Linked DNA regions of Arabidopsis thaliana. The protein of the gene in region 1 interacts with the protein of each later gene in a pairwise test. Each region holds a gene or a part of one and is shown in the gene's direction. Other genes may lie near its edges.

Region 1 (5,641 bases):
GCGTGGCTGGAGGTTCGTTTGTTCTACGTCCGTATCGCTCCTTGCGTCGTTGAGAACGTCCCTGACTTCCTCACCCTCCGTCACCCTCGTCGCGAAACCGGTGCTTCTCTTGAGGTTAACGGCGTTCGCGTTCCTTCGTCGCAGACGGCGTCGCTTAAACTCCGCCGTGACAGAGTCGACCGGGAATCGTCGGAGGTGACTTACGTGAGCACTGAGACCGTTCGCGTTACCGGATGCGTTGATTTCGAGGTTTATGATAACGAGGATATGGTCTTGTGTGGGAACCTAGATAGAATCGAAGGTGCTTGGAACAATGGAACTGTGAGTGATCCCAAGACTGGATGGGGCATGGATTGTTACATTGCTATGGGAAACGGACACGTGTCAGGTCCTTCTGCCTCTGTGTTTTTCCAGCCAAAGTTTGGAGTCTCGTCTCCGTCCGTCGAGGTTTATATAGCTGGTTGTTGTGGTGGTGTCCCGGTGATATTGACCAAGACGATTCAGGCGAGTCCGAGGAGGAAGGTGGCTAGGCACGTGACACTCGACGCTATCCCTGAGGATGAGGAAGTTGGCAAAGAGCAAGACATTGGTACCATTGGTGATGAATTGGCCCGTCAAAGCAAAGTACAGGTATGATTCTGATTTCACAATTCTCTGTTTGGTGATTGTCCAAGCCCTTAAGTTACGATTCTTAATAACTTGGGATTGAGATTTGAAAAGGTTGCTTCTTTCGTCTAGTTTTGTGAGTTATGAATGCTGTAGCAGATATTTAGTTATTAAGATCACTCGCAAGTTTCTGGTGAATTTAGCTCCTGCTTGAATGTTTTCTTTGACTCTACAGCTGAATTTGAAAATTGTAGAATTGTTGACTGATCAGAAATTGAGATATGGATATAGGTCAATAGACTCTCTTTGCACTTTTTTTGGTGCTTTATCTTGTTTGTCGTTTCGTTTATGCAGATGATGGAATCAGAAGTTGATGAATACGATGACTCAGATATGAAAATGGCACAGAGATATTACCCTGAAGGAATGTACGTTGATGAGGATGGTCAGCTCTCATGGTTCAATGCAGGAGTCAGAGTCGGAGTTGGGATAGGCCTTGGGATGTGTCTTGGTGTAGGCATTGGAGTTGGATTACTCATGCGTTCGTATCAAGCAACAACTAGTAACCTTCGTAGGAGGTTTCTCTGATCATCACCTACCATAAACTAAAAACCCACTTAGACATTTCGAGATCTACTAAGAATGTCGGTAACGTAGTGGGTTATAAAAGAGATAGAATTTTGGTAGATAGATGTATAGAGCTTTTGGTTTTCACCTGTTTGTGTCCTTTTGAATATATATATATATTCGGCTCTGTTCATATACTTTAGTAGCACAAAAGAGAGTTCCCATCTTGCTCCAGTCATGTTCTTTTGTTCTTTCTTTTCTCAAGTCTGTCTATGTCGTTGCTCTTGTGTAGAAAGAGATTTCGTGTTATTGTTGTTGTTGTCAAACGCTGGAGTTTGTCTTTCGGTTTCTGGTCAGGAAATAATGTGGAATAGGGAATGTACATGTTTCACCTGTATTCAGTATCTGTTTGCAATTAGTAAATTAAATTATTACAACAAGCCAAGTGGAAGACGGCGTCGTTTATCATAAATGTCAAACCGATGACGTCTTATCGGGGGAGCATGAGCATTGGACTAAAAAATTATTGTCAATTTGTTTAAATTGTATTTTGGGCCCTGAAAATTATTATAAATGAAATTTAGCCCCTTAATTTTGTAAGAGTTTACAACATTGAACCCTAAATCATTATGTTCCCAAAATCAAAATTTCACTCCTCGAGAGTAGCGAGAAGAAGGAGGAGATGAGCAAGATCCGTTCGTCTGCGACAATGCCACATCGCGACCAGCCGTCACCGGCGTCGCCTCACGTCGTTACACTCAACTGTATAGAGGATTGTGCGCTCGAGCAAGACTCCCTCGCCGGCGTTGCTGGTGTCGAATACGTCCCGCTCAGCCGCATCGCCGATGGTAAGATCGAGTCCGCCACCGCCGTTCTCCTCCATTCCCTCGCGTATCTTCCACGAGCAGCTCAACGCCGACTCCGTCCTCACCAGCTCATTCTCTGCCTTGGCTCTGCTGATCGCGCTGTCGATTCGACTCTCGCCGCCGACCTAGGTCTCCGACTTGTCCATGTAGATACTTCACGAGCCGAGGAAATCGCGGATACCGTCATGGCGCTCATCCTTGGACTCCTTCGACGGACGCATTTACTCTCGCGACACGCTCTATCGGCGTCTGGTTGGCTCGGATCGCTTCAGCCTCTTTGCCGGGGAATGAGACGGTGCCGTGGTATGGTTTTGGGTATCGTTGGCAGATCTGTATCGGCTCGGTATTTAGCTAGTAGAAGCTTGGCTTTCAAGATGAGTGTGCTCTACTTCGATGTCCCAGAGGTATGTTTGTTGGCAATGTCTCGCTAAGCTTTTAATATCTTAGTGTAAACTGACTCTTTAGGGACCAAAAAAAGTGCTGAGTTCTTAGCTACTACATTCCTAAACTGCTTACTATGATGGCTCTCTTTCAAGTTCCTCTCCCTTGGATGTTATATTTGTTGTCAATAGTTGCGTTTGCGTCTGTTCAGGGAGATGAAGAACGAATCAGGCCCTCGAGATTCCCACGTGCTGCTCGAAGAATGGATACATTGAATGATCTTCTAGCAGCAAGTGATGTCATTTCGCTACATTGTGCATTAACAAATGACACGGTTCAGATACTCAATGCAGAGTGTTTGCAGCATATAAAACCTGGTATGAGTTTTCTTGTCAAATGAAATTTGATTCTCCATGAATGTGAATTGAAGATGAACTTCTGCTTTCTCGCATTCCCTTCAATTCTGGTTGATTTTATGTATTAGGGGCTTTTCTTGTAAATACTGGAAGCTGCCAGCTGTTGGATGATTGTGCTGTGAAACAACTTCTAATTGATGGCACTATAGCTGGCTGCGCCCTTGACGGTGCTGAAGGTCCACAATGGATGGAAGCATGGGTATGACTTTCTTTTCCAGTGACTAAACTTCACATTTGCGCCTGCCTATTCTCTTGTTTCATCATCTTCTTCTGTTGTTTATCCTGCATCCATTATATCTTGTTTTCATTGCAGGTGAAGGAAATGCCAAATGTGTTAATTCTACCTCGCAGTGCAGATTACAGTGAGGAAGTATGGATGGAGATAAGGGAGAAGGCTATCTCTATCTTGCATTCATTTTTCTTAGATGGTGTAATTCCAAGTAACACTGTTTCTGATGAGGAAGTTGAGGAAAGTGAAGCAAGTGAAGAAGAAGAACAATCACCTAGCAAACACGAGAAATTAGCAATAGTGGAATCCACCAGTAGGCAACAGGGAGAAAGTACTCTCACCAGCACTGAGATCGTACGTAGAGAGGCTAGTGAGTTAAAAGAATCTCTGAGCCCTGGTCAGCAACACGTTTCTCAAAATACTGCCGTAAAACCTGAAGGAAGACGTAGCAGATCCGGTAAGAAAGCCAAAAAGAGACATTCACAGCAAAAATACATGCAAAAAACGGATGGTTCCTCAGGGTTAAATGAAGAAAGTACTTCACGAAGAGATGATATTGCTATGAGTGACACAGAAGAAGTATTAAGTTCCAGTTCTAGATGTGCTTCTCCTGAAGATTCCAGAAGTAGGAAAACACCTCTTGAAGTAATGCAAGAGTCTTCCCCAAATCAGCTTGTAATGTCAAGTAAGAAGTTCATTGGAAAGTCAAGTGAGCTACTGAAAGATGGATATGTAGTAGCCTTGTATGCGAAAGACCTCTCGGGCCTCCACGTTTCCAGGCAAAGAACGAAAAACGGTGGCTGGTTCCTCGATACTTTGTCCAATGTATCCAAACGAGATCCTGCTGCACAATTCATTATCGCATACAGAAACAAGGTAAACCTTTTTCTCTCTCTTACTTTTCATTTATCTTGCTTACAATGCCAGATAGACCATTATAAATTGGTTTTGGTGCATGAACTTGTTTTCCAGGACACTGTTGGTCTGAGATCATTTGCTGCTGGTGGGAAGTTACTGCAGGTAGCTCTTACATTAGAGAGTGTTACTTCCATTGGTAACTCAATGTTGCTCTTATGGAATCTAAAAGTGGTTGTGTCATGGGTGTGTGTGTGTGCAGATCAATAGAAGAATGGAGTTTGTGTTTGCTAGCCATAGTTTTGACGTGTGGGAGAGTTGGAGTCTAGAAGGTTCTCTGGACGAATGTCGGCTTGTTAACTGCAGGAATTCCTCTGTAAGTCTCTGTCCTTACAGAAAATGGCCCGAAATTGAAAAACCCTACTTCTTGGAAAACAGAAATAATTTGTGTAATGAATGTTGCAGGCGGTGTTGGACGTTCGTGTGGAGATATTGGCAATGGTAGGAGACGATGGTATCACACGTTGGATCGATTAAAAAGAAAAACAGAGTCTCTCCATTTGTGAGTTTCTCTCTTTTAATTACTTTTGTTACTTTAACATCCTTAGGATTCACAGACGAAAAACAGAGACACCCAATTTTTGTGTTTCGAGACTGTGTCGTGTGTTGTGTAGTTGGTATCAACCAACTTATATCTGTAATCATTGTTTCTTTTTATTTATTCTCGGTTTGCAGAAACATCCGATGAGCTTGTCTTAGAGGGACGTTTGTTGTTGTTTTCTGGGTCTGGTCGTGATGAACTCGAAAGCATTGTGTGTTTGGTTAGTAGTTTGAAATAGGTGTGTGTATTGTATTTGTATATGCTGCGTTTGTGTTTTAGAGATCATCGTACATAAAACACATCATCGTACATAACTAAAATTTGAGCTAAACTACAAAAGAAAGTAACCTTCATTTTTAGTCGAACCAGGCCCCAGCTAGGCAGCTATCTCGTAAATAAGATTGCTGGCTTACGATCGTATTCCACGTGGCAATTTATGTGCCGTGGATTTAAATTTGTACGTGGCATGAGTGTTAGGAGAATGTCCACATGGCTTGTAGTTGTTAGTCCCACGCTCTGAACCAGAGCAACCGGCTCCTTACACGTGTTCGGCTTAAATCCATTTTTCGAATGAGATTACACTTCTAACCTTGTCTCCCTCTCCCGCTTATACCACCACCACTCTCACACAAGTCTCTCAAGTCACAAACTCTGTTTCAAACCAAAAGGGAACTTTGTGTGTGTTGTCGAGTTTTATGGTGACTGTAAACCCTAGCCAAGCTCATTGTTTGCCTATGAAAATGAGTCTACCGGGTTTCAATACTCTTCCCCACACGGCAACAACGATACCGGTTTCCATACGGAGCAATAGGACGATGTCGTTTTTTGAGGATCCAACAAAGAAGGTTAGAAAGCCTTACACTATCACCAAATCTAGAGAGAACTGGACGGAGCAAGAACACGACAAGTTCCTTGAAGCCCTTCATCTGTATGTTGACACGGATTTCACTTCTCTGCCTTCATTTATCTGATTAATGATATATAGAATCTTTGAGATTTGTTCTTCTTCTTCTGATATGATCATGTCTATTTGATTGCAGATTTGACCGGGATTGGAAGAAAATAAAGGCCTTTGTTGGATCAAAAACAGTGATACAGGTAATCAATCAAACATATGCAT
Region 2 (5,147 bases), on another chromosome or scaffold:
ATCCTGGACCATCCTTGTGTCTCCTTCTTAGCATCCTTCATAACCCAAATATATTCCATGTCATTCGCGCAAAACACGAATCCTAACTTCCCTTGGTAGTTTACCAGAGTTGAAATATCATCTCTACTGGGAATTCAACATGATAAAAAAATTCAGACCTGATATCAAAACTCATCAATTTATATCTAGAGGTAGAGTTATATATGTTGTAGTAGTTTCCCCTGGATAATAAATCAATGTGTCATCCCTGGTAAGTGTAAAGGACTGTCTTGTGGTAGGGTTATATACAACTACCTTAAAACCAGACAAACAACACATCAAACCGTAAACATACTGCGCCATTCTCCCAGGGATTGATAGTACTGCTTCTATGTCCGTATTTGGAGGATAAGTAGACGATAAGCCTAAGAAACATTCCACGTAAGGGCCTGAATCGAAGCCGAAGATGAAATGGGCATCATGAGGAGGCTGAGTCAAAAATCGAGTCACTATCGATTCTATGAAGTCTCTACGACTGCTGATAATGGATGACCACAGCTTCGAGACAGATTTGAACCTCAATAGTGCGATTTCGCCGGGAGTGTTTTTAGTCACTCCACTGTCAGTATTCAGAGGGATATCGATAACTCCGCCGTGAAGAAGTAGTGTCGGCGAGGGTGAGGTCTCGTTGCTATTCTCTTTGCGTCCTCTCGTCATCATCTCTGTTTTGTCAAACCTTAGACTAATGAACGAGGGCTCTCTATATAGTATATAGTATATAGAGTTTATTGCAAATAAGGCATTTGTCTTAGATATATATTTTATTTTAGGCACTTTTAAAATGATCTTTAGATTTAGGCACTTCTTTCCTGGGGAAAGTTGTTTTTACCCTTACAGAGAGATGATGTTGCTCTTTCTTTGTTGATGAACTTTTACGTTTTACACTAGAAATCAAAAATACTTGCGACCAACACCAACAACTTTGGAGTCATTGATTACAGAGTGATGTCAGCGACGATTGGAAATTCAGACGATTAACAATTGGTCCTCATGAGATGTGAATGCGATCTAGATTTTTAACATCCCACATTTTGAGATCTGGAAAAAACAACAAGAAACAAAAAAGTCCCACGATTTGGTATTACGATTTGCACGTTTTTTTGTTCAGTGATTTTTGTGCAGGTTAAGGAACTCAAGAAGTGATTGATACTTTGTTGATTGCTCAATTGATGTTCATAATCATGTCTACAAGTACATTGATTTTTGTTCATGTTAATGGTGTTTGATGATAATGAGGATGGTTGTAGTGTTGTGTTATTGTGTGTATGTAAGAATTGTAGACTGTATATTTGACGGTTTGGGTTTACAAGTCTAATTCTAGGGTATAGCGTTTACCATTGACGTCGTTCGTTACCCCTCGCCGTCAAAGCCGTGAACCACCACCAAATCTTTGTGCTACCGTCAAAGCTTCACGTCTACCGTCGAAGCTGCAAATCCACTATCTAAGCCATATATCTCTGAATGTCAAAAGAAACTTAAAATTGAATCAGAGATGGGGATGCATTTTTTAGAAGATAAACGCATTCTTTTCACCTCATTCTCAACTCCAGCTCATAGTTTAAGGGCAAAAATGTCCGTAACAATGAAAATTGGAGTTATTATATGCTTTTACTGTTGTTGTTTTTTACGGCAAAATAAGGTCATCCATTTAAGCTAAAAACGGGTCGGTTTTCTTCGAGAGAAAACTAGTTCGGAGTAGAAGAACTTACATGGGAAAAAATAGAATCTCGTGCTCTTGCCTTCTTACCAAGACAATCAGCACGGACATTGTTTAGAGTCTCTGTTTTGAAAGAAATGTTTTCAAAATGCTTGTTTAGAATATAAGCTCTATATAGTATACCTACACATGTTATCGTGGGTCCAAATAGAAGAGAAAAACTATATTTAAAAAATTAAAATTATATGAGATATTTATTTTCAATGAAAAGGAGAAAAATAAAAAATAAAGAAGGAAAAAATATAAAGTTTCCTTTCCCTCTCGTTCGTTGGCTTTGCCTTCCCGAGAGAGAAAGATAAGATTTGGTTTTGCATTCCTCTTCTCTCTCGCCGCTCTCAATATGCTTCGATTTCTATTCTCCTCTTCCTCTTGATTTTGTCTTCTTCTCTTTGCTGCGGAGAGATTAAGAAACCCAAGGGTTTTAAGCAAGAGACGCGGCGAGGAAGCTATCCAGAACTCTCTGAAACATCCATTCCTTTTTCTCATGGACGTAGTGTTGCCGGAAACTGCCGTGGTAACCGGTGGTTCGGTTATCGGAGATTATGGATTTAATGTGGATCCTTTTCTCGTTGAGGCGTTGCACAACTCTCGCCATCGTCTCACGAGTATGCTCCGTTTCTCTTCTTTTTTTTGTTCTCTGATTCGTGTCGTTTAACCTTATTTCCTGAAATTAGAGCTGATTTTTGTCATCTGGATTAACAAATTTGAAATTTTGATTGGTGGTCTTATCTGAATTTAGCTGGGTATAGTTAGGTTAATTTAACCGCAATTTGGGGATTTTGGGTTTCTCAGGAACTGGCTCTCTTCTTAGATTTGCGATTATGTTGATGCCCATGCTGAATTTAGCTCTCTTCTCTGCACTGTATTATCCATGGTTAATGTTATCAAAGATGTAAACTTTTATTCTGTCCATGGTGTTCAACATTTATAGTTGCTTACCTTTTGTGTGGTTTATGTGGAACTGCTTGTGGTACATATATCTCCTTTATCTGGTAGTAGCTTAGCTTTTGTGTGGTTGTGTGGAACTGCCTGTGGTGTGTCCTGGCTTTTGTGTTTCTTGCTACTGTAACTAAGCCTTTTGTTTTGTTTCTCTTGTTGTGTTAGTTTTGCGGATGGAACTTGATGTTCAAAGGTTGTTGCAGAACCCTGAACAGCAGCAGTTTGAGTTCCAGCATTTTCCTACTTCGTATCTTCGTCTTGCAGCCCATCGTGTTGCTAACCATTATGGGCTAGCTACAGCTGTCCAAGAGAGTGGTGCTGATGGAAATGAAAACAGAATCCTTGTGACGAAAACTACAGAGAGCAAATTTCCTGCTGTTCGGTTGTCTGAAATCCCGGTGGCTAAACAATCAGAAAATGGTAAGTTTGAGAGCAGGAAAGTTTCCATCAAGACTCGACCTTCTAAAGGATCTGGATATGGCGCTGGTGATCTGGAAAAGAATCGTGGTCCTCTTAGAAGTGTTGAAGAGAGGAAAGAAGAGTATGACAAGGCTCGAGAACGCATATTCAGTGGTCTTACTGGTCTTAGTTGTGATGACTCTTCATCTGAAACTCAGGTGTATGAGAGGAATGCAAGTCTTAGCAGAGATGACAAGCAAGTATCTAAGAATGCTTACGTTGAGGTCAAGAAGAACTTAAGCATCAGGGAAAGTGGTCCAACATCTCGTGTTGCAATATTTAGAGACAGAGAGAAAGATCGGTTTGACCCTGATTATGACCGCAGACACCAAAGGTGAGTAACTCAGCTGTTAGTTTACTGGCTAAACCATTACTATACTAGCGAAAAAGTTTCATACATGATGGTTGATGATAATTGTGTGTGTCAATGCAGGTACATTAGGAGCCTTCCGGTGAATCAGAACTTCAATCTACCACCCTTCAACATTCAGCAAATACCGACACCATACTACGAAATGGGATTCACTGGATATAACCAAATTCCAAGTCCTCCTGCTCCTCTTGGCTTCGGACCACATCCTAGCTCAATCATGAGTCCCTATGGCACCACAATGGATGCAATGTATATGCATTGGCCTAATGCAGCTATGATGTATGCTCATCCGTATGAGCAGTTCAGGAATGGCTCTCTTCAGGTAAATAACATTGATCCTTTTTACTCTCTTTGAGCGATCATGGAATAAAAACTTTTGTCCAAATATAAGGACCATATATTGAAATTTTTTCACCCACATGTTTAATATATACTTATGCATAGCTGAGAACTCGTTAAGAGAAATGGATTCTATTAAAACTCTTCCAAAAACAAATGAAAAAAGCAATTGAGTTGGTTTGGTGCATTGTTTCCAATGATTGTCTGAAAGCAGTTGTAACTTGTTTCTCCAGGCACAGTTCGTTCAACAACCCTTGAGCTTCGACTACATGCAGAACCGCTAGGTGCTTGCCTCTTTGTCGATCTTTATCTCTGTTTACCATTTTTTTTTGTAGAACCTAGGAACTGTTGTAATGGAAATTTTGGAGTTGTAATGTCAAAATTCAGAATGAAGAGACCTTTTGTTCCTTTTACAATTATCAGATTCTGTCTATTATGGAAAACCAATGAACTACCTGTGGGTCAAATCTTCATCGAAATTCTCTGTTTTGAATTGAATGTCTTCCAAATCTGCAAAAGCTGTCCTTTAGGTTTGCATTACACAAGATAAATAATCAGCCTTCCAAATCTTTACATTCATGTTATTTGTTCCGTTGATTCGTACAAGTCTGTGAGACGCAACAAAAAAACAATATCTAGTTTAAACAAACACAATACGTACGTTAGTGATGGAGAATTTCCAAAGTTTGCTGGTTTCAACATTTGTTTACGAAGCAATGTGGCGGCGAAGAAACATGGCAACTGATCTCAATGGTGTCCTGGAAAAGTAACAGCATCAAAGTGAGTGTAACTTACAACTTCAAATAGCATAGAGATCAGAATGGATAATAGAGATATATATTACCATAGAGATCGGCTTTTGTTTCCTGGTTGTGTAACCTCCTCTTCTCTTTGTGGGTCTGTATGGACAAGTCTTTGGAATTTTTCAGACAGTGCTTTGTAAGACAGAATCTCTGTTGGTTCGATTTGGCTAATCGCAGCTTTTAAATGTCGCATGCTTATTTCCTCCATTTCAAGACTCTCCTGATTGATAAAAGGATGTGAGACACTTGCAACAAATTTCAGGCTTAGTGCTGGAAACAAGGACTAGTATATATCTAACCTCAAGTGCAGCAATAGCTGCTTCTCTGCATATCAATGATATGTCAGCTCCTGTATAGCCTTTGGTAATGGAAGCCAATTCCTTTAAACAAATATCAGAGCTGCATGGGATTTTACGCAAATGGATTTTGAGTATTGCTTCGCGATCAGTTTCATTAGGAGGTCCGACATATAGCAAGC

Evidence for each region.
Region 2: the proteins of AN (region 1) and AT3G56680 interact in a two-hybrid assay, tested with the Arabidopsis thaliana proteins (one large-scale study listed by BioGRID).

The regions. Positions count from the first base shown.
Region 1 is NC_003070.9:185,380-191,020, forward strand, and holds AN (NAD(P)-binding Rossmann-fold superfamily protein), read left to right. Parts: upstream 1-1,765; 5' UTR 1,766-1,855; coding exon 1,856-2,443; intron 2,444-2,631; coding exon 2,632-2,797; intron 2,798-2,904; coding exon 2,905-3,035; intron 3,036-3,149; coding exon 3,150-3,941; intron 3,942-4,037; coding exon 4,038-4,085; intron 4,086-4,182; coding exon 4,183-4,296; intron 4,297-4,385; coding exon 4,386-4,457; 3' UTR 4,458-5,093; downstream 5,094-5,641. Other genes in the region: AT1G01500 (Erythronate-4-phosphate dehydrogenase family protein), read left to right, coding at 1-630, 961-1,194; ASG4 (Homeodomain-like superfamily protein), read left to right, coding at 5,217-5,449, 5,562-5,619. UniProt on the Arabidopsis thaliana protein: Involved in controlling the equilibrium between tubular and stacked structures in the Golgi complex. Required for cortical microtubules (MTs) arrangement that confers cell shape.
Region 2 is NC_003074.8:20,989,297-20,994,443, forward strand, and holds AT3G56680 (Single-stranded nucleic acid binding R3H protein), read left to right. Parts: upstream 1-1,983; 5' UTR 1,984-2,240; coding exon 2,241-2,361; intron 2,362-2,860; coding exon 2,861-3,488; intron 3,489-3,587; coding exon 3,588-3,849; intron 3,850-4,099; coding exon 4,100-4,150; 3' UTR 4,151-4,390; downstream 4,391-5,147. Other genes in the region: AT3G56670 (F-box/associated interaction domain protein), read right to left, coding at 1-35, 295-699; CIP111 (Cam interacting protein 111), read right to left, coding at 4,573-4,624, 4,711-4,889, 4,969-5,147.